Mytilus edulis: one gene and its partner. The protein of the gene in region 1 purifies or fractionates together with the protein of each later gene. This does not show direct contact. Links are inferred from orthologs where the notes say so. Each region holds a gene or a part of one and is shown on either strand. Other genes may lie near its edges. The genes, in order: serine/threonine-protein kinase stk11-like and COP9 signalosome complex subunit 3-like.

The links.
Region 2: the proteins of serine/threonine-protein kinase stk11-like (region 1) and COP9 signalosome complex subunit 3-like purify together in Homo sapiens (affinity purification with mass spectrometry; 5 studies listed by BioGRID and IntAct, with this or other methods). This does not show direct contact. The link is inferred for Mytilus edulis from reciprocal best matches to the Homo sapiens genes STK11 and COPS3.

The regions. Positions count from the first base shown.
Region 1 is NC_092344.1:117,602,578-117,619,412, forward strand, and holds the start of serine/threonine-protein kinase stk11-like, read right to left. Parts: upstream 7,053-16,835; 5' UTR 6,935-7,052; coding exon 6,597-6,934; intron 3,092-6,596; coding exon 3,008-3,091; intron 1,925-3,007; coding exon 1,835-1,924; intron 1,509-1,834; coding exon 1,376-1,508; intron 912-1,375; coding exon 775-911; intron 1-774. UniProt on the Homo sapiens protein: Tumor suppressor serine/threonine-protein kinase that controls the activity of AMP-activated protein kinase (AMPK) family members, thereby playing a role in various processes such as cell metabolism, cell polarity, apoptosis and DNA damage response.
Region 2 is NC_092352.1:14,413,949-14,430,717, reverse strand, and holds the start of COP9 signalosome complex subunit 3-like, read right to left. Parts: upstream 6,302-16,769; 5' UTR 6,235-6,301; coding exon 6,180-6,234; intron 1,723-6,179; coding exon 1,593-1,722; intron 1,094-1,592; coding exon 981-1,093; intron 1-980. Other genes in the region: 5'(3')-deoxyribonucleotidase, cytosolic type-like, read left to right, coding at 11,112-11,324, 11,986-12,086, 12,882-12,942, 13,236-13,350, 15,125-15,273. UniProt on the Homo sapiens protein: Component of the COP9 signalosome complex (CSN), a complex involved in various cellular and developmental processes.

The DNA of each region.
Region 1 (16,835 bases):
TATTGTCATACTCTAATTTGGTTTTTAATAAAATTATAATTTCACTAAAATAACTTATTTTTTTGTGATCTTCTAAAAAGAGCTTGATAAATACATTAAAAAAAATTACAGTCACACTTAATAAATTCAACTTAACGGATGACCTCGGAAAAAAACATAAGGTAAAACTATTGTGATAAATAGAAGTCACTTAAACAATTTGTTGTAACCCCTGTATCTAGGTTATAGGACCATTTTTATGGTCAATGCAAAACAGAGGACAGCATTTGAAAAGTGAGAACATCTCAATCATAATTTTGAATATGAATGTGTCTATGGGCCACAGATGTCCTAGCTTGTAAATACACACAAGTCAGGGTATAAAAATTTATTGACAAATTCAAAAGTTTCCGTTTCATCCAAGTATCAAGCAAGAACCATAACTCAGAAATGACTAAGAGTGAAAATGACATAAAAGTAACTGATCTCTGTTAATTGTTATCAAATTCAAAGTTGATCAAAGTATTACAAATTTATAAATTGTATTTTAACATTCAAGTTTTAACGGCAAAGACAAATTGTGTAGTAAAATGTAGTACCTCTTTCCTTATAAACAGTGTATAAAAGGTTTGAATCAATCAGGGAGATGTAGTGAGAATACTATCTGAATTTACAAACTGACAGAGATAATACTACAGTCCTTAAGAAACCCTTTGGAAGTACATGTATACAGGACACTCAGCCATCTACTGATTACTGAATCCCTGAATGGCAGAGATCACTGGAACTACTTACAATGTAACACCACTGGACCAAACATCAACTTTGAACCCTGGAAAACTGTCCTCCCCATTGGCTATTTCTGGTGGCTGGAATGCTGGTGAACCTTGACTTGTGTGACATGTATCATCAAATGCATGTAAAGCTATCTCCTACAATATTCACCAATGACTATCAAGCTTTAACTATTTTTCAATAATTAACTAGTATTCAATATATTGGACTCTATTAAGATAAACGGTTACATCCATATGCCTGATATTCATGTTTTGCAAAATTGCTATTGGCCTGATAGAAATTTTAAAATCCTATGCTGGTGAAGACTGCAGGTAAAATTTAATTGACTTACCATGTGCAGTGATGTGACTGTAAATGAACCTTAGCTTTTTTTTGTATGAACATTTATTTTCTCAGACTGGGCAGTCTTACTTTTGTAGTAATGATCTTAACTAAAGTTGTTTTTGATGACAACAGATCCAGGGTATTATACTCGTTGTAAACTACTCCAATGTTAATTATTGTGAGCTGATCTACAGCCAAAGTCTTTGATGTTAATTATTCCAGAACAATGATCTTTAACGTGGCCTGTTTATTTTTAGTCAAGTTAAGTGCATACCTCAGCCACACCAAAATCTGTGATTTTTAACGTCTCATCTCTGGCTAGTAACAGATTACCAGGTTTAATATCTTTATGGACTATACCTCGACTGTGTAAAAATATTAATCCTTCTACTAACTGCTTAAAATAACTGAAAAGATATATATGCTTATGTTAATACTTTATCTGTGATTCAGTTCATAAAACTATTGAATACCTATCAATGTTGTCAAAATATTTATAAACCTGTCAAAAAATTTCTTTTTCCAACGGCCATAACTTCTGTAAACTAAGTTGATCATCACTGATTTTCAAACATAATTCATTTTTTTTTAAATCATACAACAGTTTTTCAAAATCATAAAAGACATTGCTGAAATAAACCTTTGAAATAAGATTCATTAACAATTCTATTACAGGTATTGTAATCTTGTACAATGCAATTTTCAATATAATTTTAATTATTTTTATACTTACTAATGAGCCTGAAAGATTGGGAACTTTTTATCTGTAGCACTTTCTAACATTTCTTGAAGTTCACAAACACAATATTCCATAAAAATATACCTGTATTTTTTATTAAGGAAAACAATTAAACAAAATATTTCATGAACAAACCAGTTGGTGAGGTGACCTAAAGTTTATATAAAAAGATTTGCAGACTGACATTGACATTTTGTCTGAACGATTTGGTGAAAGTTTTACAGAATTATTCCGACAGTGATCTCTCTAGTACTTTCTCCTTAAACTTATGGCATCACATTTATAATATTTATTCTATTATAAAACCTATTCATATACTAATAAGAGAACAATGGTAAAAATATCACCATGGTGCTTCATTTATTAGACTCAGGTGTGAATCTGGTACTACCCAATCAGTGGTTTATAAGGTGGCTGTCGATAAAAATTGCCTACTTGTTTTGAAAAAAAATCAGATTTATGAAACAAAAAGTAAAATCAGAGTTGAGAAATACCAGGACAACAAATAATAAGTCTCAAAAACTTACACTCAAATATATAGTTGGTTTATGAGTTGATGATACAGAGTACAAAAAGACAACTAACTGCCAAGGAAATCACTTTCTACATTTACCCCTTGGCTCCAATAATGACTCTCCTAGTTTGTTCTTGTAATTAGATATGTTTACTTGTTTAATAATTAGCCGTGTTGTAATGCCTTCCTCATAAATCTGATATTAAATGATTTCTGGTTGTCTTACATCCCACAAATCAATTATTTTTTTTGCAATAATATCTATTAATAAATCTGTGAGAACTTTCGTCATAATTTTTGACATTTTTTAAGAAACATTTTTTCCTTCTGTATTATAGTCATAATCAAAGACAGTAAAAGACAGATTCAAGATTCAAAATAACCTTTATCAAGTACAAATTTACAACATATATGCATGATATGCATTGTCATAAAATTGAAATTTCTTGCGCAAACTCAAAAAGACAAAAAAGAAATGGGCCAAATATATGTAAACATGTATCTGAATATCTCCTCGGTATAAACGAAAAATTTATTTAATTTAATTTTAAGCTATCATTTTGATTTCCTTTGACCCTGCATTTCATTTTTTTATTGCATGTAAGTTTACCAAACACCCATCTGACTTTCTTTGATATGATTATAAAGGATACATCTTTTGCTTTTCATCATTAAAGATGACATCATCCAAGAAAACTACATGTTTATGGTGAAGCCTCTTTAAAAGCTGAATTTCCCTGTAAAAAAAATGCATGAACCAATTAAGAAACAACCATCTCAGTATGTTCAATGTTATCTTCTGTAACCAAGTTATGATCTAGTACCCTCCTATCAACCCCGGGCAGATTAAGACAACATTTGTTATTACAATGCTACATCATCTGCTGGAAGATAAAAGTCATGCTTATTCGAAATACATCATTCTTGACCAATGGCAGCATTTGATGTCTCTTCTGACAGTGTGGAGTTGTATAGTGGTTGTGTCTTGTGTTTACAAATCTTGTCAAGTAGGAACTTAAAATAAACTTTGACATTCCAACATTTGCTGGAAAATGCTGGAGATATCTTTTCTATTCAATTTAAAGTTTTTTTAGAGTCAATATTCAATAAACTACATAAACACGAGCTCTAGTGAGCTTGCAAATAGACGTAAGACAATATTTCTAGTTTGATAAATACTAGTCTATAATGTGTCTGCATCATTGAACTATAAAATTGTGAACAAATTCTTTAAACCTGTTGTACTGATCCAAAGCATTGTGTTTTTAGTCTTTTTAGCACTTTCCAAATGAAATATTTAAGTGTTTGGCTATTGTAGTGTTACAAATACAAATTTTCAAGCTATATTTTAACTTTTAAGACTTTTTACTATTCCCAGCTACATTGAAATGCATTGACTTAAATGTAGACACAAAATATTTTTGTAAGGCCAAATAAAAATATATGTGTGGTTCCAGTAACCCGACAGACCCTAATTAAAACCCCCCGACCTTAGAACTTTTTTTTTTATTTCTGAAAAATAAATTTTCAAAGGTTAAAATTTTGAGGATTGTGAATTAAAATAATTAAATTCATAGAATTCTGTAATCTGAATTTCCATCACAAGTATCTGTTATGGGTAAAATGCAACAATTCATAACAGAATGCAACAAAATTAACTTAAAACGTATCATGACTGTTTATTTTACAACCAAACACATGTAAAAATGGCGGACTTCAGGTTGGGGCATGTATAATACCGGAAACAATTTCGGTAAACACACGATTTGTTTCCGGATTTTGACATTCAAAAAAAATAAAATTCAAAAACAAATAAAAAAATTGCCGACCTACCAACCCTATTTTTTAAAAGTATGTAACTGGAACCACACATATATTTTTATTTGGCCTAATGTTTGTAATTACTCAGTTTCTAACCCAGCCTAGCATTCTGCCATTTAGTGTCCAACAGAACAATATTTTTTGGCAGTGTTTGCATGTACCCGTATGTGGGTACGAATAGTCAAATAATAGTTTGTATGCTACGCATACCCGCATCCGGTTTTATAATAAAATGGCATCAGATTGAGAATGGAATGTGAAATATATACGGAATTTGTTGCAATTAGTGAATAAATTGATTTAAACTACTCCGAAGTTTTATAGACAGTTTTTCTCAGTTAATAAATATTCTTAAAATGGAAGAGTGATATACATGTGGGGAAGACATTTCAAGTTATCATGAATTGGAACAATTTGTTCAAAACTTTCAGTCAACTATAGCTAATTTTATACAATTGTATAAAAGAAACTCAGAGTCAATTGCAGCTGCAGGAAAAATTTGACAGGAAAAAGGCCTAATACAATCGGTATTCGATTAAAATTTATAGTTTAAATTGAATTTGCAGTGTTTCATTCTATGGTCAAGTTTTTTTTTATGTCAAATACTTCTTGTTTTTCTATTCTAAACCATTCATGATATAAAGGATATATATGTCTACTTTCAGTACTTTCCAAATGGAATGTATTTCCACTTTAAACTTGGCTTGACTAAAGCTGGAACAAAGTTGGTTTAATTTGACAATATTAATTGCTTTTTAAATTTTTATATACACACCCAAGCTTTAATTTTAGTAGTTTAAGATATTTTAAAATTTCCTTTTCTGTTTAACATTTTACTTAAAGATTATTTTTAAATCTCATATGGGTATTTTTCAAATTCAGTAATTTGCATTTACATTTTATGATAGTATTAATTTTTATCATGTTTTTCTTTTACTGGGACTGTAAAGTTTCATTTTCCATCAGTGCATCATAGTGCATGAGCATTTAATTTGCAAGGTTCATTACATATTATTATCTTAAAAATACAATTTGAAAATATTATTTTTCATATTCTTCACTTGTTCTACAGTATATTCGCCCAACTAAGAACTGGCTATACAGAACTCAATTACTACAAAACCGAGTAGGCCAAACCAACGCCATAGAGTCCTGCAACTGTGGAGCACATGAAACGCCTCAACATTTTCTTCTGGAATGTCCCTGCTATGAAAACGAACGAGAAGATATGTTACACCAAATATCCAAAGAGGTCGGGGTCAGAAACTTGAATTTAGCTAACGAGACTGGACGGCGAGAACACAGAAGAGACAAAAGCCAAACTACAAACAGTGGCACATTACATTGACAGAACGGGCAGATTTAATACTACTGTCCCACAATCCCAATCTTAACCAGCGCATACATGTACCAATTTAAAGCACAGAAAAGAAAATACGTTGAGGAAAACCGCACATTGAGACAATTCGTGCCAACAGGCCTTAAGATTGAGGATTGAGGTCTACATGAAATCCCCATACTATTGATAATTTCCGTTTATATTTCACCTTTCATTTACAATCCCACAGCATTTTTATTATAAAACCGGTGGGTACGCATAGCCTACGAATGGTAATTTGACTATTCATACCTGCATGAAGGTATGTGCAGACATAGTCCAAATAATTATGACGTCTTGAAAGGCTATTATAATTTTTTTCTTTGACGCCTTACATCGACGTCATAACGCCAAACTCATATATTCAGTTGGACTTTGAGAAGGAATTTACTGCTTTATTAAAACGTTTAGCTGATTTCTCCTAAAGATGCTTCATTTTAGGTGTATAAAATATATTTTTTAACCAAACTCGGTACATTTTCACCGACCTGAATTTCCGGATAATGTAAAACAATGGTTCCGGAAATTCGGGTTTTACCGAGTTTGGTGTAAAAATTATTTTATAATCTTCTTAAAGGAAATCAGACAAACGTTTTAAAAAATGCAGTCGACATGTTCCCGCCTCGGATGGAATTGTTCCTTATATTATTATTTCTGTAGGGATTAATTGGAAATATTTTGCACAAACAAACACATAAAAGGTAAGAATTTTTGTTTATGCATTTTGTTTTAGCCTCCAATGAAAATTTTGTGGCTAAATTGGGTCTCAAAGTTGAGAGCAAAATATGCTCTCAAAGTCCAACCGAAAATGGCGGCTTCAGCATTATGACGTCGATGTAAGGTGTCAAAGAAAAAAATTATAATAGCCTTTCAAGACGTCATAATTATTTGGACTAGTGCAGACACTGCCATATATTTTTGTTTTATTTATGTTTTCAACATAATCAAAGACATTGCCTTAAATATGCTTGACATCACATGTTGTGGCATGAGCAAACATTTTGGTTTTTACATTTTCAAATGTGATCTTCGGAAATAACAACCTTAAAACGTTTTGTTCTCCATTAGGAATTTTTCTCAGTTTCCTCTTCTTTAAAATTTTAACAGCCCTTCTGCATAGTGTGACAGTGTCTATAACTTCTTTAACTTTTCCATATGAACCCTCTCCTAACAGATCGCCAACAAGATACTTTCCAACCATCTTTGCCTTTTTCCGACGAGGCTGATAAACGACTTCGCTAGATTCAACTCTGTGAAAAAAGGGAAGACCTCCATCACTATCGTTAAGGAAATCAAGTTGATCAACATGTTCTAGGGTAGAATGGCCATATTCGTTGGGTGCAAGAAATATATCTGTTGGCACCACAACATTCTCTGCCATAACTGGTGTGGACTATTTCTTAAATTTTGGAAACCTAACATCACATTCATGTCAAAGTGGCTGGAGGAAGTTGGTCGACTCCATATTTGACAGTTATCAAAACGAGGCGACTGGTTTAAAAACGTCGTTTCGTGTTCCGGAATCAGCAAAAGAAAAGTTAATATAGCGGGAAATATAACATTTGAAATGTGTTACTTTTTGTTGATACTTTTTGGTATCAAAACTAAAAGTGTCCATATTATTTTTAAGTGTAAATATATCTTTTGTCTACGAAGACAAACACGCATTTTCGCGACCGTTACCGTCAAATGAGCCTTAATTTTTTTATGGTCATTCTTCAAATCGGCACCATACTGTACCGTCATCATATATATACAGTGAATTTAAAAACATCTTGAAGTTGATCTAGTTCATCTCATGTAGGTAAGTCTTGAAGCATTCAAGACTATCTGCACTGATGGCAGTATGTGGTAGTGCATTCCAGTCAGTCTCGAATCGTCCTTGGGTAAAAATATTCCTTCCACACTTGGGTCCTACAAGATGGTACTTGGTATCCATTAGTGTTGATATTTCTGGATAGCCTATCTGGTGGAATGAGAGTATAAGTGGTGTCAAATTTCACCATCCCGTTGGCAAGTTTACATCATTGTGAGCCTTGATGTCCTCCTACGGTCATCGAGGGGTTACTCTCCAGTTGGTTATGCATGTCACTAACAAATCATGATGTGTTATGATATCTATTAGTGCATATGTGGCTGCTCTCCTCTGTACCATTTCCAGTCGCTTTTTTTGTTGTTTAGTTGATAGGGATCCCAGACTGTACATGCATATTCTAGAGTCGGTCTTACAAGTGATTTGTATGCATTTTCTTTTATTGTGTTGTTATTGATGTTCAAGTTACGTTTGAGGAAGCCTATGGTCTTGTTTGCCGTAACACATATGTTTTTGATGTGTTCATTCCATTTTAAATCGGAGCTGATGGTGCAACCAAATTACTTTGCAGACTCGGAGTTAAGAGATTCGAGAATGTGGCCATGCAGTACATATTCTTTTATAATAGACTTGCATTTTCTTGTTATGATAAGAACATTACATTTATCTGGATGAAATGCCATTTGCCATTTGTTTTCCCAAATTGCCAGCTTATTTAGATCTTCCTGAAGGTGGTCGCTGTCTGTGTCTGATGGTATTGGAGATATATGATTGTATCATCAGCAAAGAGTCTTACCCTTGATCGGATTCCCTCTGGCATGTCATTTATATAGAAAAGGAACAAACTGGGTCCAAGAACTGATCCTTGTGTGACGCCTGAATCGACGTTGATTGTATCAGATTTTTCCCCTTCTACAACTACGACTTGTTTTCTGTTGGCCAGGAAGTTTGTGATCCACCTGTTGGTTTTCCCTCCTATGCCATAATGATCCAGTTTGTGTGTAAGTCGGCTATGACCTACTTTATCAAAGGCCTTAGAAAAATCCATAATAAGGCAGTCTGTTTGTTTTCCATGTTTATGGTGATATCGTTAATAAACTCAATCAGTTGTGTTTCGCAGGACAGGCCTCTCCTGAATCCGTGTTGGAGTGGATACAGTATGTTGTACCTCTGTTGTGTTTGTCAGCATGGGTCATTATGTGGCTTGTTACAATGTACTCCATGATTTCGCAACAAATGCAGGTAAGCGAGACTACTGCATCAAACCGTTTTCCCTTCTTGAATATTGGGATTACGTTAGCCTTTTTCCATATGTCCGGTAAATCGCCTGTTTCATATGATCGTCTGAAGATGGTGGTAAGGATTGGTGCAATGTCTATGGCTAATTCCCTCTGCACCCTTGATGTAATGGTGTCTGGACCCGCAGCTTTAAATGGGTTTAGGTTGGACAATAGTTTTGCTATTCCATTTTCTGTTATGTTCAGGTCTTTTTTGAAGTCCAGGGTAGTTGTTGTTGGTCATGTCACAACGGTTTTTGAATTCGGTTTCTGTAAAGTTGTTTTTTTTGTCAGAGAAAAACTGATTGGAACTGTTTATTTAGTATGTTAGCCTTTTCAACTGACTCAGGATGGAGTAGTCCATTGTTCCTTAATGGTAGTATAAGGTTTCCGTCTGATCTTTTGTGCTTGATGAATGTCCAGAAACGTTTCATGCAGTTTGGTTTGTCTTCTTTGGGATCAGGTGTTATTATATTCTCTATATATTTCCAATATGCTCGTCTTATTTCTCTCTGTACCGTACAGAGAGAAATAATACCAGCATATTGGAAATATCTACTACCAGTCTTTTTAGTTCTTTATATTTTGATGGTATGCTTAGCATCAGCTGATTTTTTTTTCGAAACGGTGAGCTTTAGCCATCACTTGGCGTCCGTCGTCGTCCGTCATCGTCCATCTGGTGTAAACTATTTCAAACATCTTCTCCTCTAAAACTACTCAACCAATTCCAACCAAACTTACACTGAATAATTCTAAGGGTATCTAGAATAAAGTTTGTGTTTTATTTTCTGTTTCGTCAAAAAAACATGGCCGCCATAGCTAAAAATAGAACATAGGGGTAAAATGCAGTTTTTGGCTTATATCTAAAAAAAACAAAACAAAGCAGTTAGAGAAAATCTGACTTGGGGTGAAAGTGTTCTTAAGGTAATGTTCTATCAGCCCTGAAATTTTCAGATGGATCTAAATTGTTGGGTTGCTGCCAGTAAAATTGGTAATTTTAAGGCCATTTTGCAGTTTTTGGTTATCTTGAATAGTGTTAATGATAAAGATAAACTTTAAACAGCAAATATGTTCAGCAAAGTAAGATTTACAAATAGGTTTATAGGACCAACATTGTCAATTGACCACTTAAAGAGTTATTGCCCTTTAAGGACAATTTTACACAATTTGTTTATCATGTTTTCTAACTTTAAAAAATCTTCTTTTCTGAAACCACTGAACCAATTCCAACCAAACTTGAGCTGAATGATCCTTAGGATGTCTAGAATAAAGTTTTTGTTTTATTTTCTGTTTCGTCAAAAAAACATGGCCACCATGTCTAAAAATAGAAGATAGGGATAAAATGCATTTTTTGACGTATATTTTAAAAACCAAGGCAGTTAGAGAAAATCTGACACGTGGTAAAAGTATTCATAAGATAGTTCTATCAGTCCTGAAATTTTCAGATGAATCTAATAACCCATTGCTGGGTTGCTGCCACTAAAATGGTAATTTTAAGGAAATTTTGCAGTTTTTGGTTATTATCTTTAATAGTATTAATGATAAAGATAAACTGTAAACAGCAAATATGATCAGCAAAGTAAGATCTACAAATAAGTTCATATGACCAAAATTGTCAATTCACCACTTAACGAGTTATTGCCCTTTAACGACAATTTTACACAATTTTTTTTAAAAACAAAATTCAATGAAATTGGACACTCAAACCCTTTAACGAAAGATAAATGCCAAAAAAATCAACTTGAGCGATTCTTGTTTCTTTTTATTTATTGTAATGTTTTTTCTCTTTTCTTTATGAGCGTTTGATGTCTGTCGTAATCCAAGGGTTACCGTCTTTTGTTCTAGCTGTTTTTGTGATATGTTGGCATTTATAGTATTTTCAAGTTTACCTTGAACATAGTCCCACATTTCTTGTGTACTACATTCTTGATGGTTCATCTTGGTAACATCTGTATTTATTAATTTGAGATCTTCTTTGATGTTTTCCCGCTTAGCTTTTTTATATAAGGATATTTTCCTTGGCTTTTGAGGTTTTTTTTTATGGTATGGTGTTCAACTCTGCAAAGACGATGTCATGATCTGATATGCCCGATATATATGGTTTCGACTCTATTGTAGCAGTTTGGGTAGTTCGTGATTATGAGATCTAGTGTGTATGATTCTCTTGTTGGTTCCTCTACCATTTGTTGTAAGCCATGATCGTCCAGGATGTCAGTGAACTTATGGTGTATGTTGGTATTCTGTGTATTGGGCTTCAGTGATTTGGTTTTCCAGTCCCAGCCTGGTAGGTTAAAATCACCAGCCATGATGATTAAAGCATTTTTTTATATTGTTCGCTCTGGTTAGGCTCTTCTCAAGTCCTAAGTACCCATTCTCGTTTGATGTTTTGGGGTTGTAATATGAGCTTAAGTATATGGCTTTGTGTCCAATGAGTTAAAGTTTGCACAAGACAATTTCACAGTCAGTTTGTAGTTCAGGTACGGCTGTTGTTATATATTTATCTTTAATAGCAACTAGTACGCCCCCTCCACTACAGTTTCTGTCTTTCCGGAAGATGTTATATCCAGGAGGGAATATTTGACTGCCAGTGATCTTATTGTCTACCCATGTTTCGGTTCCAAAGATAATATCTGGGTTTGTGCTTTCTATGAGATTAAGTACTTGTCCTTGTTTACTTTTGATTGATTGGAAGTTAACATTTAGTAATCTTAGTGGTGTTTCAGATTTCTTTGATGGTTTTCTGTTCTTGTTTTTATCCGGTGTGGAAGCATGTAAGGGTCTCATATTTATTGAAGACGTTGGACTGGTAAGAGAGGTGTCAGACAATACGCTGTAATTGTTTGATGTGCTAAGTATTAATGAATAGCATCTGTGTTGAATAGTTTGGACATCCACATGTGATACAATCCCATGCAAGTCCACTGTCATTTGCATATTCATTATACGATTTAGTGTTCATCGACTGGCATGACACATGGTACCACTGATTGCATGTGTCACAAACTATTCCTCTATCGTCCCATGTAACTAGATTGTCACAAGTGCCACATAGATACACAGTTGACAAATCCTTAATATTAAATAGTCAAATCTTATTTTGTAGCCGCTGAGACTACTATAACTCATGGTAGTCTCAGTTTGTAGCTACAGTGATCTACAGTTGTGCAAATCAATGGAGAGAAATCTCAGTCTGGTTTTTTTACCATACCTCTTTCGGCTTACATACTGAAGTCTGTCCAGGGAGAACACGATAATATTGTTTATGCCGAAGCAGTAACAACACCAATCAAAGAAAATCAGACACCAAGAAAAGTTTACCAATATAAGAAAGCAGACTTTGGGACCATGAAAGCAGAAGCAAATAATCTTGGAAACGATGTTATCATAAACTGCAATAAAATTGAGAATGGAAATGGGGAATGTGTCAAAGAGACAACAACCCGACCAAATAAAAAACAACAGCAGAGGGTCACCAACAGGTCTTCAATGTATAGTACAGATATAAACAAAATATGGGAGGAATTTAAAGATGATACATAAACTTACTAACAAGACTGAGCACATACCACAGACAACAATTAAACATCATATAGCACCGGATTATAAACTACCCCCCCCCCAAAAAAAAAAAAATCTCGTTTTTAAAATGCATGAGTAAAGAGATAGCTGGAGTGCCACCATTGAAACATGAAGGACAAACATCAAATGACACAGTTGACATTGAAGCCAACACGCTAAACCATCAGTTCCAATCAGTTTTTACTGAAGACAACAAACCTGTCTCACTAAACCTGCATCCTTTGCAAGCTTATGAAGCATATCGTAGTATCCAACGTCATGAAACATTTAGAAACTAATAAAATACTATCCGAGTTCCAACCTGGCTTTAGAAGTAAGAAATCGTGCGAGACACAACTTATAGGCCTGATACATGATATAACATGTAAAATGGACAGTAAAACACAAACAGATATAATAGTCCTGGACTTAGCAAAGACATTTGATAAAGTCAGCCATCCACGCCTGCTACACAAGCTCAGACACTATGGGATAAGAGGGGGAAATCACAAATGGATCACAGCATTTTTAGACAACAGAACACATGCAGTTGTACGTGAAATTAAGTATTCGGACAAAGTAGGAGTCACATCTGGAGTACCCCAAGCAGTGTACTTGGACCTGTCATTTTCCTAATCTTCATCAATGACTTCACTGATAACATAGTCAACAATCCATCTGTTTGCTGATGATTACACCATCTATACTGGCCGATTAGAACTATCAAAGATCAAGCCATTCTTCAAAAAGATCTAACAACACTGACGAAATGGGAACAGAAATGGAAAATGGAATTTAATGTCAGCAAATGTAACGTGATGCACCTAACACGATATAAAACCCAATTAAAGAACTATATTACATGCATAGGAAACAACTAAAAGTTAACAGACAAACAATACTTGGGAATTACCATCAAAGATGATCTTAGCTGGAACTTACACATAAACAACATTCTAGCCAGTGCAAACCAAGCACAAGGGATGCTCATCAGAAACATCAAAAAAGCTCCACAGCAAACAAAAACCAATGCTGTCAATGCACTAGTAAGACCAAGAGTGGAATACAGCGCAGCCATATGGGATCCCTATACGCAATAATATATAGACAAAATAGAGCGGATACAAAGAAGAGCAGCTCGCTATATTTTCAACGACTACAGTAACGAATCAAGTGTCACAAGCATGATAAGCAAGCTTAACTGGATACCTCTATACCAACGAAGAGTGAACATCAGATTATGCCTATTTTGCAAAATTGTAAATCGACTAGTAGCAATTCCAACAGATTCCATTACACGGAACATCTAGACACCACTATATCAAAGAAGAAGAAGAAGAAGAAGAAGACGATTGAGTGACCGCCTTCAACAAGTAGAAATTTATGTCACAACAGGAAACTTACAAGAAGACATCGATTCTTCTTGTTTAGGTATACAATATTCCATCTTCATCCGATGATTACATATTGTTCGATTGATTTATATATGAGACAATATCTGAAAACGTCTATTTTTGGGCAATGAGAAAAACACAAAAATAATGTCTTTGGAACCTCTATTTTAATAGCACAAAACAAAACAAAGAACAAACATTGTGGACTCAGGAACAGTTGTCATTTTAGATTTGATAAATGTGATAATTGAACTATATATTACCAATGTAAAAAATGGTACCAAAAATTCCAGTTTTTCCCTTTAATCAATTTAAGAAGTATTCTAATGTGAATGAGGAATAAGGTAAAGATACTATTTGTGGTTTACTAGCACATCCTGCATAATTTTATCCAAAGCCAATTAATATGTTTAGCTATACAATACATAAGGTTAAGAAATATAGTAAATTTCCATTATAGTCAGATTTGTAGGTAACATGACAAAATCTTCAGTAACATGACAGAGTTGGTAACGGGAAAGATTTTTTTTTCAAAACAATTCCTTTCTTTTGATAGTCTTAGAAAAATACATTATCACAAATTGGTCAAAATAGCAAAATAATCATTTTTTTTAAGCTTCTATTTGCTATATGAAAAATCTGTCTCGGCAATAAAAAACAACATTAAAAAATAAATTCCTTTCTGTTACCATCTACTGTACTGGAATTGTACAATTGTTCTTTGCTGTTATTAAAAGTCAAAACCCTGTCTTGTCATTCAATATATAGACAGTATATTATGATAAGGTTTTTAGAATTATACGATGGTATTAACTTATATTACACACACTGCTTGGTATATGGTAGGTGAGCTTTGTGTTTCATCAGCAAAAGTGTCTTTATAATCCTACCTATTACTGTATATGGCTATGATGGTACTTTTTATCAAGTTACATGACAGAACGTAACAGAAAGGTATTACGCAGTACCCTTTGTCTTTTTATTTGAATTAAATGGAAGTAGAAGTTCCATTCAGTGGCGGATATGTCTTTTTTGTGGGATTAATTTATTGTTTTTAGGTCTTGCAACCTTTTCGTGTTCAATTTTATATAGAATTACCAATCTTGAATCTTTTCTTCTTTCAGGCTGTTCTATTCAAGGTGTTGTAACATGTTACCAATACTTGATGTGTTTCTGTATTTGTTGGTTACAAACTCCACCTTTCAACTTTTTCAATGATATCTATGTCTTGTTGTAAGTATGGTTTCCAAACAGAGCAAGCATACTCTAGTGATGGTCTTACTAGGGACTTGTATGCTTGCTCTTTAATGGATGTTGAGCTTATGTCCAGGTTCCTCCTTAGAAAGTCCTACCCAAAAGGGCAAACCCTCGAGCTGTTCTAATTACTTGGTACCGTCGTCCATCAACGTTCTGACAGAAATACTTTCCACTGAAACTACTGGACTAATTTAACTAAACTTGAACAGTTATAGTTGAAAAAATCGTTTCCGAAAAAGTCTAGATATATCATAAAACAATTAAGTGGGTAGGTAAGTAAGTTGTATTTGCAACCTTTCCTTGTTTGTTGGTTGCTTAGGCTATCATGACAAACTATTGTGATATTTCAATGATTGATGAGTTGAGTTACATCGACTAAGAATCATTTTAAAACAAAATATTTATACATATGTACATATACTACAGCCCGTATGAACATTTCTCGTCTTTTTGTATATAACTATCAACATTTGAAATATTTTGTAGAAAATCCGACGTTTGGAATTTAAAAAATTACAAACTTTTTATGTATTAATTTTCAAATTTCAATACCTAAATAATGAACTTAGAAAAAAATGACATGGGCTAGGCTATGAATGGATTTAAATACACGCCAATAGAAATCTACCCTATGATATTGGTTACGGCTCAGCTGGTTTCAATAGAAACTATGGATCAATGAATTGGATCGAATTTGTTAATCAGCATAGGTAAAATGCTTCTTCGTAAACACGAAAACCTGGCTAAAATGGCGGCTCTCTTCTCTCTCATGAAACTCGGAATTCTTTGAAGTTATAACACATATTCAGGTACGTCTTAAAAATTGTGTATCCGAAAAGGAAAAGAAATACATTTTTGTAATACCTTAGTTTGTCACTATGGTATTTGATTACAACTAAAGATATACATGTTTACCTTTATTATAATGTTAACTGGGCTTGTTACGTGTTAAAGTTCGGGTTAATTTACTGATCATAGGAATTAACATAGCAAATGGGGGTTTTAACACATAAATAAATCTTTTACGCGAAAAGATAGTTACCGCCACTTGTGGACAATTCATAAGTTCCTCAATTGAAATACCGTACACCAGTGGGCTCTTGATGAAGCCGTGTTACCAAGATAATATTAGATGGAACTTTCTGAAGATCTCTCCGAAAAATGATATTAAGTATCTGTTTGTTTTTGGAATCTAATAATACTGTTCCGTTTAACATTTATTTGTTACCGTAGGAGACGGAAATTTACAAATTAAAAGAGCAAAAATGTTTGGAATTTGGGGTGAAATATAAAAGGAAAATAACCATATAGGTAAATTTTAAATTTGGGTTTGACACTTATAATGAACTTATATTAATGAGTTTGATTCATTCAGGTATGAAAGATTTAATAGATTTTTAAAATCTACAACACCAAACACCATAAACAATTAATTTTCTAAAAAATACCCCCCCCCCCCCCCCCCCCCCAAAAAAAAAAGTGCTGCCGATGAAACTAGATTCATACAGATTATTTGCTTGGAATTCCAAAATTCTTGTCTTTAGTAATTATTTTTTTTTGTTCAGTTAAGTTTATTTTTGACATAATATATTTATTCTAAATGATAGAGCTCTGATTTGGACTGGTGATGTTATCGGTAATATATATACATACTATTCAGATTAAGAAAGTAAATTTTTATGAACCAAGTTCAGTCAGCTTGTTACATTGGGGTTGTGGAAACAAATTATCAATTTATTATTCAATATGTGTAAAATGTTAATGTCTTCTTAAAATAATGTTCCATCGACAATCTGCAATCTTATCATCACACTATTGAATTCGCTTTCTCTTTAAATGTTTTCATTATTTGCACTTTCTTTGTCGTTTAAATGCATAATCTGAAGTGCATTTCCCTATACGCCAGACACTTGTTAAAGTTCTTTAATATAATGCTATTCGGCCGTCCTCCCCCGCATTACTCTCTGTATCTGAATTCAAAAA
Region 2 (16,769 bases), on another chromosome or scaffold:
ATTTCCAAATTGTACACAAGAAACTAAAATTAAAATAATACAAGACTAACAAAGGCCAGAGGCTCCTGACTTGGGACAGGCGCAAAAATGCGGCGGGGTTAAACCAGGGCTCACACTACTTCAGAATTATAGGGAGAAGTGACTTCTCTTTTTGAAACTGATAGGGAGAAGTGGTGAGATTTGAAAGAGAAGTGCTCATTCGTGCGGTGCGCTACAATGTTTGGATTTTACAATAGTATAAAGGGCCATATGTAAATAATGTTCTTTTTATATTGTTCAATTCATATCTGAGTAAAATTCATATTTGAGTAAAAAAAATACAATTAAAGTAACATTTGAAATTAAAAGTTGTTTAAGTTTTACTAAGGTTCTTGTGAGAAACTTATTCCAACTAAATATCTAGCACTAAAAAAAAAAATTATTTTAGAAAATGTAAAGAAATTATAATATATCATTATTACAATTTAATTAAAAATTATCTTGTGTATGAAATTCAGTGTTTCTCATAAAAAAATATAAAAGTTATTAAGCTGGGCCATAATATATTGAAATTAGTATAATAGCCTCAGAGTTAAGCAACTTTAATCAATAGTTTGAAACAATCCATAAAAAATGTAGGCACAATCCTTCCTGTTAGGGGTTTAGTATCATACCATCATAACATATATGAGAAGAACATAACCCGTGTCATGCCAATGTTCATATTAAAAAGTCTGTATTTATGTCACATGTTTTCACACGCTTTTTGACTTGATTTGTCATTGTCAGACAGTGTTGTAGGTAGACTTATAATGATGTGCACACCAAAGTTGCCAATAGTAGCAAGGCAAAAAATTTGACTGTTATGATTTTTTATGAATTTTGTTTTTGGTCATTTCATTTGAGCATGCCAAGTGTGTTGTTGCTTCAATGGTAGCTCAGACACTGTCAGAGATTGGCAACTATGTCTTAATAAAGATTATTTTGTTGTATAAACTTACAACTGTCTGTGGCATATCTGACATGCTCTCCATTACAATTATGGATGAATTCCTGAGTCTGTATAAATAAAATCTCAAAATCTGGTATATTTGGTAAACTGTACTTAACACATCTGAAACAATACATCATTGGGTATTACATTATGGTTAATGTAGGACAATTCAACAGAAATTACATCAATAATCAGAAATTATCTCTACACCAATGTCATTTGGTTTGTTGAGAAATAATGATATAAATATATGAAATAGTATCCTCTTTGTGACCAGTTTCCTTTTTGTTAAACATATTTGTTATACATTTTTAGATACAACTAAAGATGGAAAAGTATTCTTTCTCATTGATACCTGCATAAGTAAAATAAAAACATCCATATGAACCGTAGAAATAAACTTCTTTTAAAGGTTTGTATGTCAGATCTTTAATTTATTTAAAAGAAATGTATCTATTTTTGTTATGTTACATGTAGTAAGAAAATAACTGCGGTGGTACCAATTTTTAACTGGTTAAAATTGTTATATTGAACATCTTTATCTGTCTTTTGTGGTGTTACTGACAGTAAAAAATCATTTAACAAAATAAACAAAAGAAATCTGAATATGTTTACTTACAAAATACCCAAAATTCCTAGAGAATGTTGCTGAATATCTAATGTTGCTAACACATTGTCCAAATGACTTGCATTTTTGGTTAGGGCATCTGCACTTTTTCCAATGAATTCACACAGCTGAGAAAAATTTCCTACAACAGAAGTAAATTAAATTTGTTAAGAATGGGAAACACCACATCTATGTGTTTTAGTGTTTGACTATGAGTGTAAAGTACAACACTATGTGCGAGTTTTAAAATAAAAAGTTGATTGAAATATACAATATTAATTCAAAGCCCACTTACTTTTTTTATTATTCCAAATTTAAATTCAACAAAACTATCCCAAATATATGCAACAAAGTTCATATTTTCAAGAAATAACAATATTAATATAATCATATAACAGCCATATGCATCCTTCATGTCCTTTTTGGGGCAAAACTTCTCTCCCCAAAGCAACACAAGTCCAAATAATAAAAATCAGAAAAATCATATACAGTGGAATCTCTGGTGTCTGCATGGCCAGTAATATCATCTATTACCTGATTTCGTTATATCGGCAATGTAACACAAATAGAATCATTCTTGTAATTGTTTTAGTATTCTGAAGGGACAGAAAAGATTAAAATTGATAAGTTCAAGATTATCTTTATAACTACAATCTGATGATTAACCATATTTAGACAATTTCTATTAAAAAAGTTACATCATCAGATAAAACTTGTTTCATTTAAGTCAAATTAAAATCAGATTGAAATAAATTTTGCTTTGCATGCTTGGTAGTCTGTTTGGTTCAAATTCAATAACTTTTGTACTATAAAACCTTTCTTTTATCTAAATAATTAATTTTTAGCTAGATGGCATGCAGGAAATCACTGGACATTTGAAATTTTTTCAATGATAATTTGTAACATTTTAGCTCTATAAATTCAAATACATTACATTTGTATTACATTGTATCACTGATTATTATTTCATAGTATTTGTATTGTAAAGATTAAGTTTTTTTTTCTAATAACTATCATCTATTTAATAAGTTAACTTCCCAGATAGAATTCCACAGCAAAGGAAAACATATCCCAGGGAAATAAGTTTCCTCTGGATAAAAAAATAACAACAACTACTATGACATTTTTTCCTCCGGATCAAATTTCACCCAGATATAATTTTGCTTTACACTTGTTCAGTTTATAGAAAAATATTTCAATCTTGATGCATCTTTGGACAATGTTGGACTCGCAAGTTTTGACAAATTTTCACGAGTCCAGGACTCAAGGACTCGCCTTAGTAAAAACCCTGCTGAATCTTTTAACATGTTCAAATCTTCAATTTCTAAGCATCTATGTTACCTCAACTATTACATCAAACTTTATAATATACATAGCATTTTTCATTTTCCTGTATTCCTTAATTTTGTATATATAAATTTCTGTCTTGTTGTAAGTTTCCTCCAATGAAATGATATTCAATTTGTTGAAGGCAGTCACTAAATGTATATATATGGTAGAAGTATAATGTAAATGTACAATTGTAAAAGAACTGCAGTTCAAGGCATAATAATTATTTGGACTATATATACACTTAAAACTACCAAAGAAATTGAAAAAAATTCTTCCAACTGACAAACAACATCATTTAAAGTTTGTTAAATGTAAAATATTCATGATTAGTTTTAATATGGTAGAGTCGGTCCGGGTAATTTCGTACAGTCGGGTTAATACCGTACATATTGTTTTTCTGTTGTTTTTATAATAAATAAGATTAATAAAGTGTGTTTTAGTGTTGTATATAGATAATTAAATATTTACGACCTTATTTTTTTAAGCTTTAAAGTTAAAATGGCCACAGAATATATACGCATCACGATTGATCGGAAAGTTTGATTTGCAGGTTTTTTTGAAAGCTAGTCTTGTGGAAAAAGTCACCAGATTTTGCTAGTAACCAAGTTTCGATATTTAAAGGTAAGAATTTTTTACTTGCATCTAAATTTAAGAAAATTGATGGCAAATGAATGCCCTGAATATTTTACAATTGACATATACTGTTTTATGTAGTATTTGTGAAGATGTTTCCCAAAAATATGACTAGGAGTGGGTGTACGGTATTACCCTTTGTGATATTTTACATTAAAATGCAAGTAGTCTAATATCGTACACTTCAGTTTTCAGATATATGAAATATCATGTTATAAAATGAAACGTTATATATTACTAACCTTTGCTTTTACCAGTGAACTTTACGCAAAAAATAAACATAAATACAGACACTATCTTCACGTTGTTTTATTTCACCGTGAAATGATGTTACAAAATTTGACCCTGTGTATAGTAATAAGCGGGTGAAGTGGGAAAGGTGAGTAACGATTTCTGTACTTGTCTATCAATTAAAACAGAACTGAAATAAGAGAAGCAAATTAAAAAAAAAAAAGATACAAAGTTAACTGGCATCAACAATATTCGTAGAACGAAATAAATTGTAAAAAAAGAAACCATTCTTTATATTTTTCAGTTATGAATCAACATTCAGTTGTCATATATTTAATGAACAGAGATATTGGTATACATAACAACTACTCCTCCCTAATTGCATGGCAGCTTATGAAACTAGACATGCCAATGTTTCATGAAGTCAAGCAATACTTTGTGGTTGATTGCATTGTACATTAGCTTTCCGATAAAACCATTGGAAATATTGCATTGAATGTTGTTAAAAAATGGTTATCATCATATGAAGTAGGAGAACTACCATTAACTTATTAAGTGCGAAGTTTGGTTCATCATCATCAATTATCAAACTTACCTGTAGGAATACATCCGTATCTTGAAAATTTGAGGACACTTTTAGAAACAACTGATGAGTTTGAATACCAGTCCTGGTCTGACTAAACATACTTTTTCTTTGAGATAATTGTAATTAATAAAATATTTATCAATTTCTTTAACTTTTGTCTTCTCTTTTTTCAGTTATGCCAAAAAAAGGAAAACTCTCCTAAAACGTAAAAGCTATACCACTGAAAGTTTGCAAAAAGCTGTAAATGATGTCAAACACAACAATATGTCACTAAGAAAATCTTCCATGAAATATGGAGTTCCTGTAAAGACTATTCACGATCATATTGCTGCCCTAAAGTAGATAAACCAAGCTATAAGTTAACAACTAGAGGTCAACAAAGTTGATTTAACTTTTTATAAGAAAAAAAACGTTGTATGATCCAATTCCATGCCTGCATTTTTTTTAATTTATAAATAATATGCAATAAAGCTTTTAATTTTATCCATATTCACTGCCGATTGAGTTTTGGAAAAAGTTCTATTTTAAAAAAAAAATTGTAAGGGTTCCACGGAACCCAGTGTCTCGCCTACTTTTGTTGTTAATCGCAGACTCAACAATAATGAGGAAAAACATCAATAAAAATTTCCCTCTCGATACTGTCTTTTGATTGAAAGAAGCTTCCAAGTTTGGTAAAAAAAAATCCAGGATAGTTTATGAATCTAATAAATGTTTTATAAACTTTAACTGCAGACTGTATGTAATGTTAACTGGAAGAAAAACTAAGTCCATTTATAAGTAAAATACGGAAAAAGTGATTATGATCAGAAACAAGCTTTTGTCTAAGTTTGGTAGAAATCCAGGATAGTTTAAGAACATTATAAAAATTTTAAAAATTTAAACCACAGACATGACAGAGTGAATGTTTTGTTTCTGGCAAAAAAACTAAGTCCATTTATAAGTAAAATACGGAAAAGTGGAAATTTTTTTTTTCAAATTTTTCTTCGTGATACTACAAATGTATCTTATGATCATAAACAAGCTTCTGTCCAAGTTTGGTACAAATCAAGGATAGTTTATGAAAGTTATTAAAATTTTAAAAACTTTAACCAGAGTGAATGTAATGTTTCCTCGCAGAAAAACTAAGTCCATTTATAAGTAAAATACGGAAAAAAATGGAATTTTATTTTTACAAAATTTACTTCTGGATACTTTCTTATGATCATAAACAAGCTTCTGTCCAAGTTTGGTAGAAATTCAGTATAGTTTAAGAAAGTTATTAAAATTTCAAAAACTTTAAACACAGAGTGAATATTTGTGGACGCCGCCGCCGCCGATGGAATGTAGGATCGCTTAGTCTCGCTTTTTCGACTAAAGTCGAAGGCTCGACAAAAATCAGGAAAGCTCTTTCCAAAGAGAAACAGTATTTTGAATTATATCGATGTAATATAATTGTACGGAATTACACATCATGGTGTACGAAGATACACGACATGCGTACGTATTTACCCTACTGTGACTTTTCAGTACGATTTAGTCATTCTTGGTATTTTTTGTTGATTGCTAAAGAAAAAGTCATACACGTCTACAATCTACGAATAATCTAGTTACCGGTTTCCTTCTTGAACTTTGTTGTATCAAACAGGGAACCAAATGATATTCATTTAGGACCGAAAGTGTACGGAATTACCCCGGACCCACTCAACAAGACAGAGTAAAATGATGATTTTTTTTCATTTATTTTAGGAGATGGGGTTCAAATGTCATGTAACTGTAAGATTTGTCTACACTAGTTGATTGAATTTAATTTTTAATGCTGAAATAATTATTTCTTATACCTTGGGAAGACAGGTTCTGTACTGTATTGACATACTGCTCTAAGACTGAGGCCATAGTCTGTTATATTTTTCTAGAAGCAGGATTTTTCACCAATGTTCAGTTGTCGCTTACAACAATAAGATAATATCTATTTTTTTCTTAAAAAGCCTTATGACTTGTAAATATACATTTAAAAATAATATCTGAAATTCCAAATTTCAAAATGTTTTTTTTCTACAAACTAAATGAGTGGAAATCATATCAAAATTAATGCATGTCAATTGTTTATGATCTTAAGCGGTAATAAACAAATAGGTCATTAAATAGAACGACAGTCTATGGGACGTTAGATGGTATATATATATTCTATTCTATTCTATTCTATTCTATATACATGTTCATAAAGCAAGTGAAACAATATGAACTATTTAATATACTTAAAATAGGTTGATGTATAAAGGATCTTTCTTCCAAAATAGAACAAACGTCTGACATCTTTATAAACTTAGGAATTTTAATGAAGCTAAAAAACAACTATTTCAAAAAACTTGAAAGCCTGTTTTAATTTGTATAGAGCCTGAGTCTTGAAATCCTCAAGCAACTGCACAAAACACATCTCTGCATTTATTAGATCATTGTGTAACAGGAACAGGTCCCAGTATACTGTGGGGTTCGATTGGGACTAGTCCTGGACCGTGTAGTAAAGTACCTGTCCTGGTAAGTACCTGTCCTGGTTCGTATCTCTCAGATCATCAGATGCTTGTATAGGCTTTGAAAAACAAAGATTTTAAAGCACAACTTTTATTATAACAAATTACAAAATTTAATCAGCTTACAATATCAAACAAGTTATACTTATTTATTTTATTTATCTAACTTTGAAACCAGGATTTGACAATTGACCTACTGGAAGTATCTATAAAGCAAGCACTGGCTACAGTTACATGGAAATGTAACAATAATAAAAATATTATTGTTACATTGGGGACTAAATGCCGGAATGCATGGTTGGATAAGGAACCGATTAATTACCAATGTAACAATAATTATTGAGGCTACGGTTACATTGCGTTATTGTTTCATGAAAAACAGCAATATTCGATGGGACTAGTAATATGTACTAAATAATAAAAGTTGAAGACATTATCTTATATTTACAATACATACAAGTATAACATACAATTTTTGATTTTTTTATAGTACGTCCTCCATGGATTCTGAAATCGGACTAGGCATCTCTTAAACTGAGTTTTACTATGCGTAGTGTTGTGCGTTTGTTTTTTATGCATTGGCTGGAGGTATAGGGGAGGGTTGAGATGTCATAAACATGTTTAACCCCGCTGCAATTTTGCGCCTTTCTCAAGTCAGGTGCCTTTGCATGGCCTTTGTTTGTCTTGTATGATTTTTAATGTTAGTTTCTTGTGTATAATTCAGAGTTTAGTATGACGTCCATTATCACCGAACTCGTATACATATTTGTTTAGGGACCAGCTGAAGGACGCCTCTGACGGGTGTGGGAGTTTCTCACTACATTGAAGACCCATTGGTGACCTTCGGCTGTTGTCTCTCTATGTTCGGGTTGTTGTCGCTTTGATACATTTCCCATTTCCATTCTCAATTTTATACATGTATACAGAAGTTCACAGTGTTAGTTCACAGTCAGCAAACTTTTTGATGTACCAATTTTTGGTAAGTGCGTTGTATAGCGGTATGAAATTTGTGTCTTGATATTGTTTCAGTTTCGTTTCAAACGCATCCCATGCAAGTTTTAAATTTTTCACCCAAACAGAATTGGTAATAGGAATCTCTTCATCTTTTGTTCAAAGTATAATGACAGTAATACGAGTAGGTGTGCAGTTAAATACTTAAAAGTGAACAGTTTTCTCAGCCTGAGTTTTCAACAACAAACCATTGAACTATATTTTTTGCCTTTGGCACTACTAATTTGAAGTAGTATCTTTAAGAACTAACGAAAGCTCCATTTGGAGCTAATGTGTTTAGAGACTACTTATGTCGGTACACCTTTCCTATATTGCCTAGTATCTTTAAGAACATCAAATCCATTAATACCTAAAACTATTTAAACACCATTTGTTGAATAATAATATTTATTATTATAACAAGTATTATTTAGTAGACCTGAATGAATTAAGCAACAAAACTAAATAGAAGATTTAAGTTTAATAAATCTAGCGTACATTGCTGTTTTTCATGTAACAATAATGCAATGTAACCGTAGCCTCAATAATTATTGTTACATTCATAATTAATCGGTTCCTTACCCAACTTTGCATTCCGGCAATTAGTCTCCAATGTAACAATAATATTTTTATTATTGTTACATTTCCATGTAACTGTAGCCAGTGCCATCTATAAAATCGTCCTAACAAAAAGTCATCTAACAAAAAAAAAAGAAAACTCTTTATAGACCACAAAATTGCTCAAGTTTGAATACCAACATAATGGATTGAAACAGTCCTCTCTAATACTAATCTAAGTAAATGGTATCAAAAACTAGAATTGAATACAATTCCATTGGGTAACATACCTGTCGCCTTTAGACATGTACAAAATGTACCAATGAATATAAGGAATATACAGACTTATATGGTAAAAAAAGTATGACCTTTTTAACTTGAATGAACCCTTTACAGTTCATAGGTTTTACTTTGTAAAATACCTAGCTTTTAGGATATGAAATAACTATCTTCCTGAAAGACTTTGAAAATTTTTAACATATCATGCTCTGATTGACTGAAATAATTATCAATATACCAATGAAATTAGGTTACTAAAAGTTTGTGCTTCTGCACAAGCTAAATCCCACTTCTGGTTTGAAGGTAAAATCAGTTGAGTATAAAATGAATAAAAACTTAAAGACTTTAAACAAATGTGAACCTAAAACCTTTGTAACTAATGAAATGAGATAAAACTAAACACAGGTAAGAATTCTGAGAAAATTCTGATAACTTTGAGCCCAGAAACTTAGTTAAATTCACATTTGTTACTAAAACTATATTGATGGTAAAACCACAACTATCACAATTGCATAACCTATTATTCTATAAGGTTGGGGCATTACTGATACTACTCCAAAGAGAAAATCTGGAAAAATAGAGATAATGGATCAGGATTTAAAGATCAAAAAACCAAAAACACATAATTTCTAATTTTTTATTACCTATTTATTTTAATATGATTAACTCAATTTGCTCTAATTGCATTTTTGGGAAATGACATTTGGTCTCAAAGTTTCATTATTTTGCTATTCTGAAGTTGTCTTTTATCCCAATAAATCTTATTATCGTCCTTCCCTACGCCTATATCACCCTGCTCTGTCGCTCAGTAATTCTCGTATCAAGACTTCAAAACGAGACCAGGCATTATCAGCGACGTCACAATGTGAGAGGAGAAGTTATCAGCGACGTCACAATGCGAGAGGAGAAGTTATCAAGCTTGCTTTCGTCAAGCTTAAAACTGTCTTAGGGAGAGGAAAAAATACCATTAATAGAACGATAAACAGATAATCGGATTTTCTACGTATAGATATCGTAAAATATCAGCCGGTCGACACAATGTGAAACTTTTTAGCTCGTTCGCTACGCTCACTCGCCAAAAAGGTTCGCATTGTGGCTCGCTCTGATATTTAACGATATCAATGTGTAGAAAACCCGATAATCTATACAAATATACCAGAGTTTTTTTGTTTTTTTTGTGGGTCTGTTGCTTAGTCTTTTCTTTTCTATGTCATAATTTTAAAGGTAAAGATTGCATGAAATTCAATCAAAACCTTATGGGATTGACTTGATATCAATTCTTCCAAGACTTATCACAACCTTATTGATACACATATTATAGTGTATTGATCATAATATTTTATATATCCTGTCCATGAACATTTCCAGAAATTTAACAATGTAATATATGCTCAGATATTCAAGGCACAAAATGATGTTACACTTGTCATGAAAATTACATAACTTTTGTTAGGTAGATATAGGAAGATGTGGTGTGAGTGCCTATGAGACAACTTTCTATCCAAATAACAGTTTAAAAAAAAGTAAACCATTATAGGTTAATGTACGGCTTTCAACACGGAGCCTTGGCTCACACCGAACAACAAGCTATAAAGGGCATGAATTTTATACCTGTTCTAAGAATATAAATGATGCCATTGTTAAAGTCATCTTTAAAAAAAAAATGGAGTTATCTTCCTTTGTCTAGAATTGCTGTTAAAACATCTACAACCAATGCAATATTAAATTTTTCTTCCAACTGATAAATTAAAGCAATCTTTACCATTCAGTGCTTACAAGCACTTGATTTCTGGGATTTGGTTGTTTTTCTTTTTTTTTACATGGCTTTATCAGTTTGTCATCAACTATAATGCTCCTTTGTATTCTTCCACTTCTCTTTTATCAAGACACACTAACATTTGATGTCTGAATTAATTTGGATAGAAGGCACACTGTTAGCCATGTCCTCTTCTCACAATGAATAAGGCCTCGTTTAGCTTACAATACTGTACAGGGTTTGCTGCTTTAAGGCTATGAAGTGTAGGGTTTTGAGAACAATTATGCTGATTCATTGTTTTACAATTTTACAGAATCATCCAATCCAGACTAACCCTAAAAGATAAATATCCAATTCATCATATTATTAAAATCCACCAATTATCACCTATAGAAAAAAAACCATTTACGAGGTTGCTAACTTTGGACAGATACATGAACATGTGGTGACAGCCATTACATATGAAATGATTTGAAATAATAGCACAGAGAATAAAAAAAAAACAATAACAAAATTTAAAGTATTCACAGAAGATTCAAAGTATTTTTTTGATAGAGATCCTAAAGATGTAGCAATGCCTTTTTACTGTACACCTATATTTTCAGACTGACACTTTTTGATAATTCATAGTAACTAAGACTAGTCTCAGATAGTAAACAATGGCAGCAAGGAGAGGAATAGGAAGTATGGCACAAAGAACGTTGATGGTTTTGATAGATCTTGATGAGACATTGGCAGCATTTGAAAAGCATTTCGTGATCAAGTTTAGAGAAAAATATCCTAATGAACCATATATTCCAGTAGAGAAGAGAAACACATTTTATATTGCTGATCAGTATGATAAATTGAATTTTACAGATGATAGTGTTAGAGTGAGTGATCCCTGTATTAAGAAATAAAAACCATTTTCTCATTTTATCTTATATGTTGCTTCAATGGTGAAAAATAGTCAGTATAAATGAGGTGAAAGATAAAAAAGGGACCTTAAGTTAAAACTCATAATTTAAAACAGACCGACAACGACCTGGTTAAAAAAAGGAAAAGACAAACAGACTAACAACAGCTCCACAAAACATAGCATAGAAAATTAAAGATTGAACCACATGAACCCCAACAAAAACTGGGGTTGATATCAGTTGCTCCAGAAGAACAAGCAGATCCTGCTCCACACGTTGTCAGTCATTGTGTGGCTCATGTTAGTACAAACTCTGTGATAAGTCTGATTTAGGGAAAAATGGTTAGGATTGTAGTTACAACAATTGAACAATTTCATCTGTGGACATCCAAGTGTCGATATTTTGTTAACTTCGGTACATGTACTAAATTACAGAATAAATTTATCATCAGAGTCACAGGTTTTGCAGTAGTTTATGATGAAATTGTACATAAATGAAATATTCTGTTGACACATTCAAAAGGAAGATAATACATATAGGTGAAATTAATGCATTAAATTTAATCTCATAAAGAATAATTACAAGTGCATCTTGAAAGTCTGTTAAGAGGACTAACAAATATTTTATTTGTTTATAGCTTGAATTAAAGAAGATTTACAGGAGTGAACACTTTTTCCGTGATTTACCAGAAATAGAAGGTGGATGTGATGCTGTCAAGGAAATGGCAGAAATGGAAGGGTAAGAAATAAAGCCTTCTCTGTTTTATATCTGATGTATATATTTACTGTCTCATTGATGTACAGCCAACATCTTCTTTGACTACACTTTGAAAGGTATATGTGATTTACAAATTAAAAAATGAGGCAACTTTTTTATGAGATTTAGCCAATGTTAATAAAAATATGTTGTAATTCTGAAAAAATGCTAGTTTGATATATTTTCCAGTCACTTTTTATAGATGAGATCTGGGAATGGATTTGAAGATCATGCTGTTCAAACTTTGTTACTCAGCATTTATTTTTTCTGAGTGAAAACTCAGCATTTATTTTATCTTAGTGAAAGTTTTGATTATACTCCCTTTTTATAATTTCTGTCAAATAAATCTATGCCTGAGCTTTATCTGAAAATAAAATTTAATACAAGTAATATTTTGTCAGATAAAATAGATTTATCTTTAATTAAAGTTGCTTAAAATATACAACTTAAAAAAATAAGATGATACCAAGAGGGTTACAAATTATTACAAGTAAAAAGGCAAACCCACCATGTTCATGGGCAAAATTTCCATATTCATGAATTTTTAATGAAATTGCAAAAAAAACACATCATGTAGAAATCCAATGGTGAAGCAAGACTGATACCTTTAAACACTCTTTACTGAACTCCTATCAACAACTTTATACTGGCTGAGGTAAAGAAATCCTGGTGGCTTTCTATATTGAGTGAATTTGTCAAAGAACGGTTGATAATTCTGGAAGAAAAATCTGGACTGTTACAAGAATTGAGAATTTATTACTTGAAATTATTTTTCAGTGTTGAAGTTTTCATTTGTTCTAGTCCACTATTTCAGTACAAGTACAGTGCACCAGAAAAAGTGAGTATAATGCTTTTTTCATGCATGACTGAATTTTCTGGGGTTTTCCTTTACTATACTGGGCCATACTACAAATCCTCTACATATTTAAATTTGTAGCAAAAAAGTCAAAAATATAAAGTTATTCAAATCAAAAATTGATGATAATAATTGATTCATTATTGTTTACACAGCATTAATGATGGTTTGAGGTTTAACCCTAACAGAAAAGCTAAAGGAGACCCCCGTTCATCAAATCAATATATGAAAAAGATTAAAGACTAACTTGACCTAACAAAGTCTTACATTTACAGTATGAATGGGTAGAGAAACATTTAGGACCAGATTGGATAAATAGACTGATTTTAACGAGAGATAAAACTATGATTAATGGAGATATTTTGATTGATGACAAGATCCATATAACAGGTAAGTTCTGCTTCATCGATCTCTATACATATAAAAAAGAAGATGTAGTATGATTGCCAATGAGACAACTCTCCACAAGAGACCAAATGACACAACTATAGGTCTCTGTACAGCCTACAACAATGAGCAAAGCCCATACCGCATAGTCAGCTATAAAAAGGCCCTGAAATGACAAATGTAAAACAAATAAAACGAGAAAACTTAAGGCCTTATTTATGTACAAAAAATGAATGAAAAACAAAATATGTCAATCATCAACAAATGACAACCACTGAAATACAGGCTCCTGACTTGGGACAGACACATACATACAGAGTGTGGTGGGGTGAAACATGTAAGCACAACCCTCAACTAACCTGATTAATTTATTTCTTCTCAATATTATGTGAGGACATATACCTTTCTGGAAATAATTCTTACTGACATGTGGATGTTCTAAGTTTTCATTGGTTAACTTAAATAAACAATGAAAAATATGGTTTGGTTCAATGTTCTCAGCTTTTAATTGGTTGATATTTATAAGAACATATTGTTTGAATTTTTTTATTCTCAGCTTTATTTTTGGTTGTCAAAATTACATTTTTCATGAATGTACCTTTTAAAGCTTATCAAATGTTAAATAGTTTATTTATCATGGTTGAGGGGCCTGATGGGGGGGGGGTCTCATCACTATTCACAAGTTGATTTTTTTGTCAATCAAGATTCACCGAAAATAAATTTCCATCATCACGGATGACGAAAAATATAAGAAATAAAAATCTGTAGAAAAAAGGATCACGATAGCAAAAATGCACCGATCATGAAGAACGAATATAACCCATCAGGCCCCTCATGGTTGAAAGCTGTATGGTGACTTTTACAGTTATTTACATCCTCATCATCTGTTCTCTCATGGATAGTTGTCTCAAGATGGTTTTGTTAAGAATACAATCACTCTTTTGGTTTTATTTTGATGAACAATGTGTGGTTTGTTTGCCTTTTTTTTGTTTTTTTTTGCATTTGATAGGTTTAATTTGATATACTGTGAGGGGTTTGCTTGTTCATAGTTTCTCATTGCTGTTACATATACAATGTTATTGAATTATTACACCAACTTGCTTTTCTATTGATCTTGGATTTTACAAATGTACTCGTTTAAAGAAAAGGCACCCGTACCTACAGAATATCAAACAAAAAGAACACATTTCAGTATTTCCAGATTCTTTTTACAAAGTCACATAGTGATACAACCTGAGTTTTTATCTAGATATAAGAAGATGTGGTATGAGTGCTAATGAGACAAATTTCCATCCAAGTCACAATTTGTAAAAGTAAACCATTATTTATACGGGTAGAAGTTTATTTGAGTTTGATGTCTCTTTTATGTTTAGTCTATTTCTTCCACAACAATATGCTCATTAAAAAATACCAATTAATTTTTACAAATGGAGATGGTTTTGTGTTATGTATGAAAAGATTTTGTCAAAAATATAGAAATCTTTATATTCAGCAGTAATAGAATTTGATATTATACATGTTAATTGTAATACTGAAAAGTGGAAAATCTTCTCAATTTCTTTTTGTTTATTAAACTGAAGACAATGAAAAATATTCCAGAAAAAATAACATCATATTCCCACATTTAAAAAAAGAAAGAAGAGGTCACTATATGATTATATTCATACAAACAGTAAGCCACCAATACATGTCCCTTTGATCTTTTATTGATTGCTTTCACCATTTAAAAACTTTTAGATATTAACAGATTAAATTTATTTGATTTTTATGTTTTTAGGTGCAATGAATAATCCTTCATGGAAACATGTCGTGTTTACTGCCCCAAATAACCAAAATATGAAAGTTAAAGGAGATAAACTACGCCTAAACAATTGGACCGATGGAACTTGGAGGACAATGATTGAAGATTTTAAGAAACGACTTTGATGTAGACTTTGCTTAGTTTACAAAAGCTTAGGACTTATATTGATTGCACATGCACCTCTTGTTACACCCTACTGGGACTTCAAGGAAGTATTTAACAGACCATATAGCTATTTGGGAATCTGCAAAGCTTGACCAGATAATCTACGACACTTAAACTATTGACATCATACAGCAATCACTTTCTGTTTGAGGTGTCAGACTTTTCTATTGTGACGTCAACATTTTACGGGAACCTTTATGATGTCCAGTAATGGTGTACAAATAGCAATAAGGTGTATTGGTGTCTATTTATTTGAAATAAATTTTCTATATATTTTTTTTTACTTTACATTTTGAATATTTTTTTGTTATCTTTGAAGTTGACATTTTATCAACAGATTATTTACTGCTATTTTATCTTTTATACTGTTACAAAGAATGAATGATTTGGAATAATATACATAGCTAAAATTTGTGATATCAATATTGTCAAGAAAAATAAATAAACATTTAAGGAGGTTTTGGGTATATGTCAATGAGATAGCAACCTAGTGACACAGATAATCAAAAAAAAAATTCTTGGAAGATAGATATGGGTTATACATTATGTCTCAATCTTGCATATGGTTGAGTAACAGTATATTGATTTAAATCCATAATATTTTGAACAAAATGGTTCGTAAATTTCAAGATATTTAATACCTACCTGTATTGACAATAACCTTCTGCTATTGTTTGTTGTCTGCCCCTGACACAGGCAAATGGTGCATTGGGGGCATTAGCCCATTCTCCCACAATCCCACCTGTAGAATTGTTAGGAGACCACCATTCTTTGATGGCTTGTATAACCCAACATACTTTTAGGTCACCTGGCCTAATAGGCCAAGTGAGCTTTACTCATCACCTTTGGTGTCCGTCGTACGTTGTTGTCATCTGCTAACTTTTACAATAATCTTCTCAATAAATACTGGGCCAAAATTAATCAAACTTGCCAACAATAATCATGAGGGTATCTATTTCAAAAAACAATGTGTCTGACAACCTGCCCACCATGGCTTAAAAAAGAACATAGGGGTAAAATGTAGATCTTTGTTTATATCTCTGAAACCAAAGCATTTACAGGATAGCTGACTAGGATAAAATCATTACTCAGGTCATGATCTATCTGCTCTAAAATTTTCATACAAACCAGAAAACCTGTTGATGGGTTGATGTCCCTGAATTGGCAATTTTAAGGAAATTTTAAAGTTTTTGCTTATTATCTTGAATATTATTATAGAAAGAGATAAACTGTAACAGCAATAAAGTTTAGCAAAGTAAGACCTACAAATAAGTCAACATGATCAAAATTGTCAATTGATCCCTTAAGGAGTTATTGCCCTTAAAAGTAAATTTTTAACAAGTTTTGTAAATTTTTGTAATCCTTAACAAAAATCTTCTCCTCTGAAACTACTGAGACAAATTTAACCGAATTTGGTCACAATCATCATAGGGGTATTTAGTTTAAAAAATGTGCC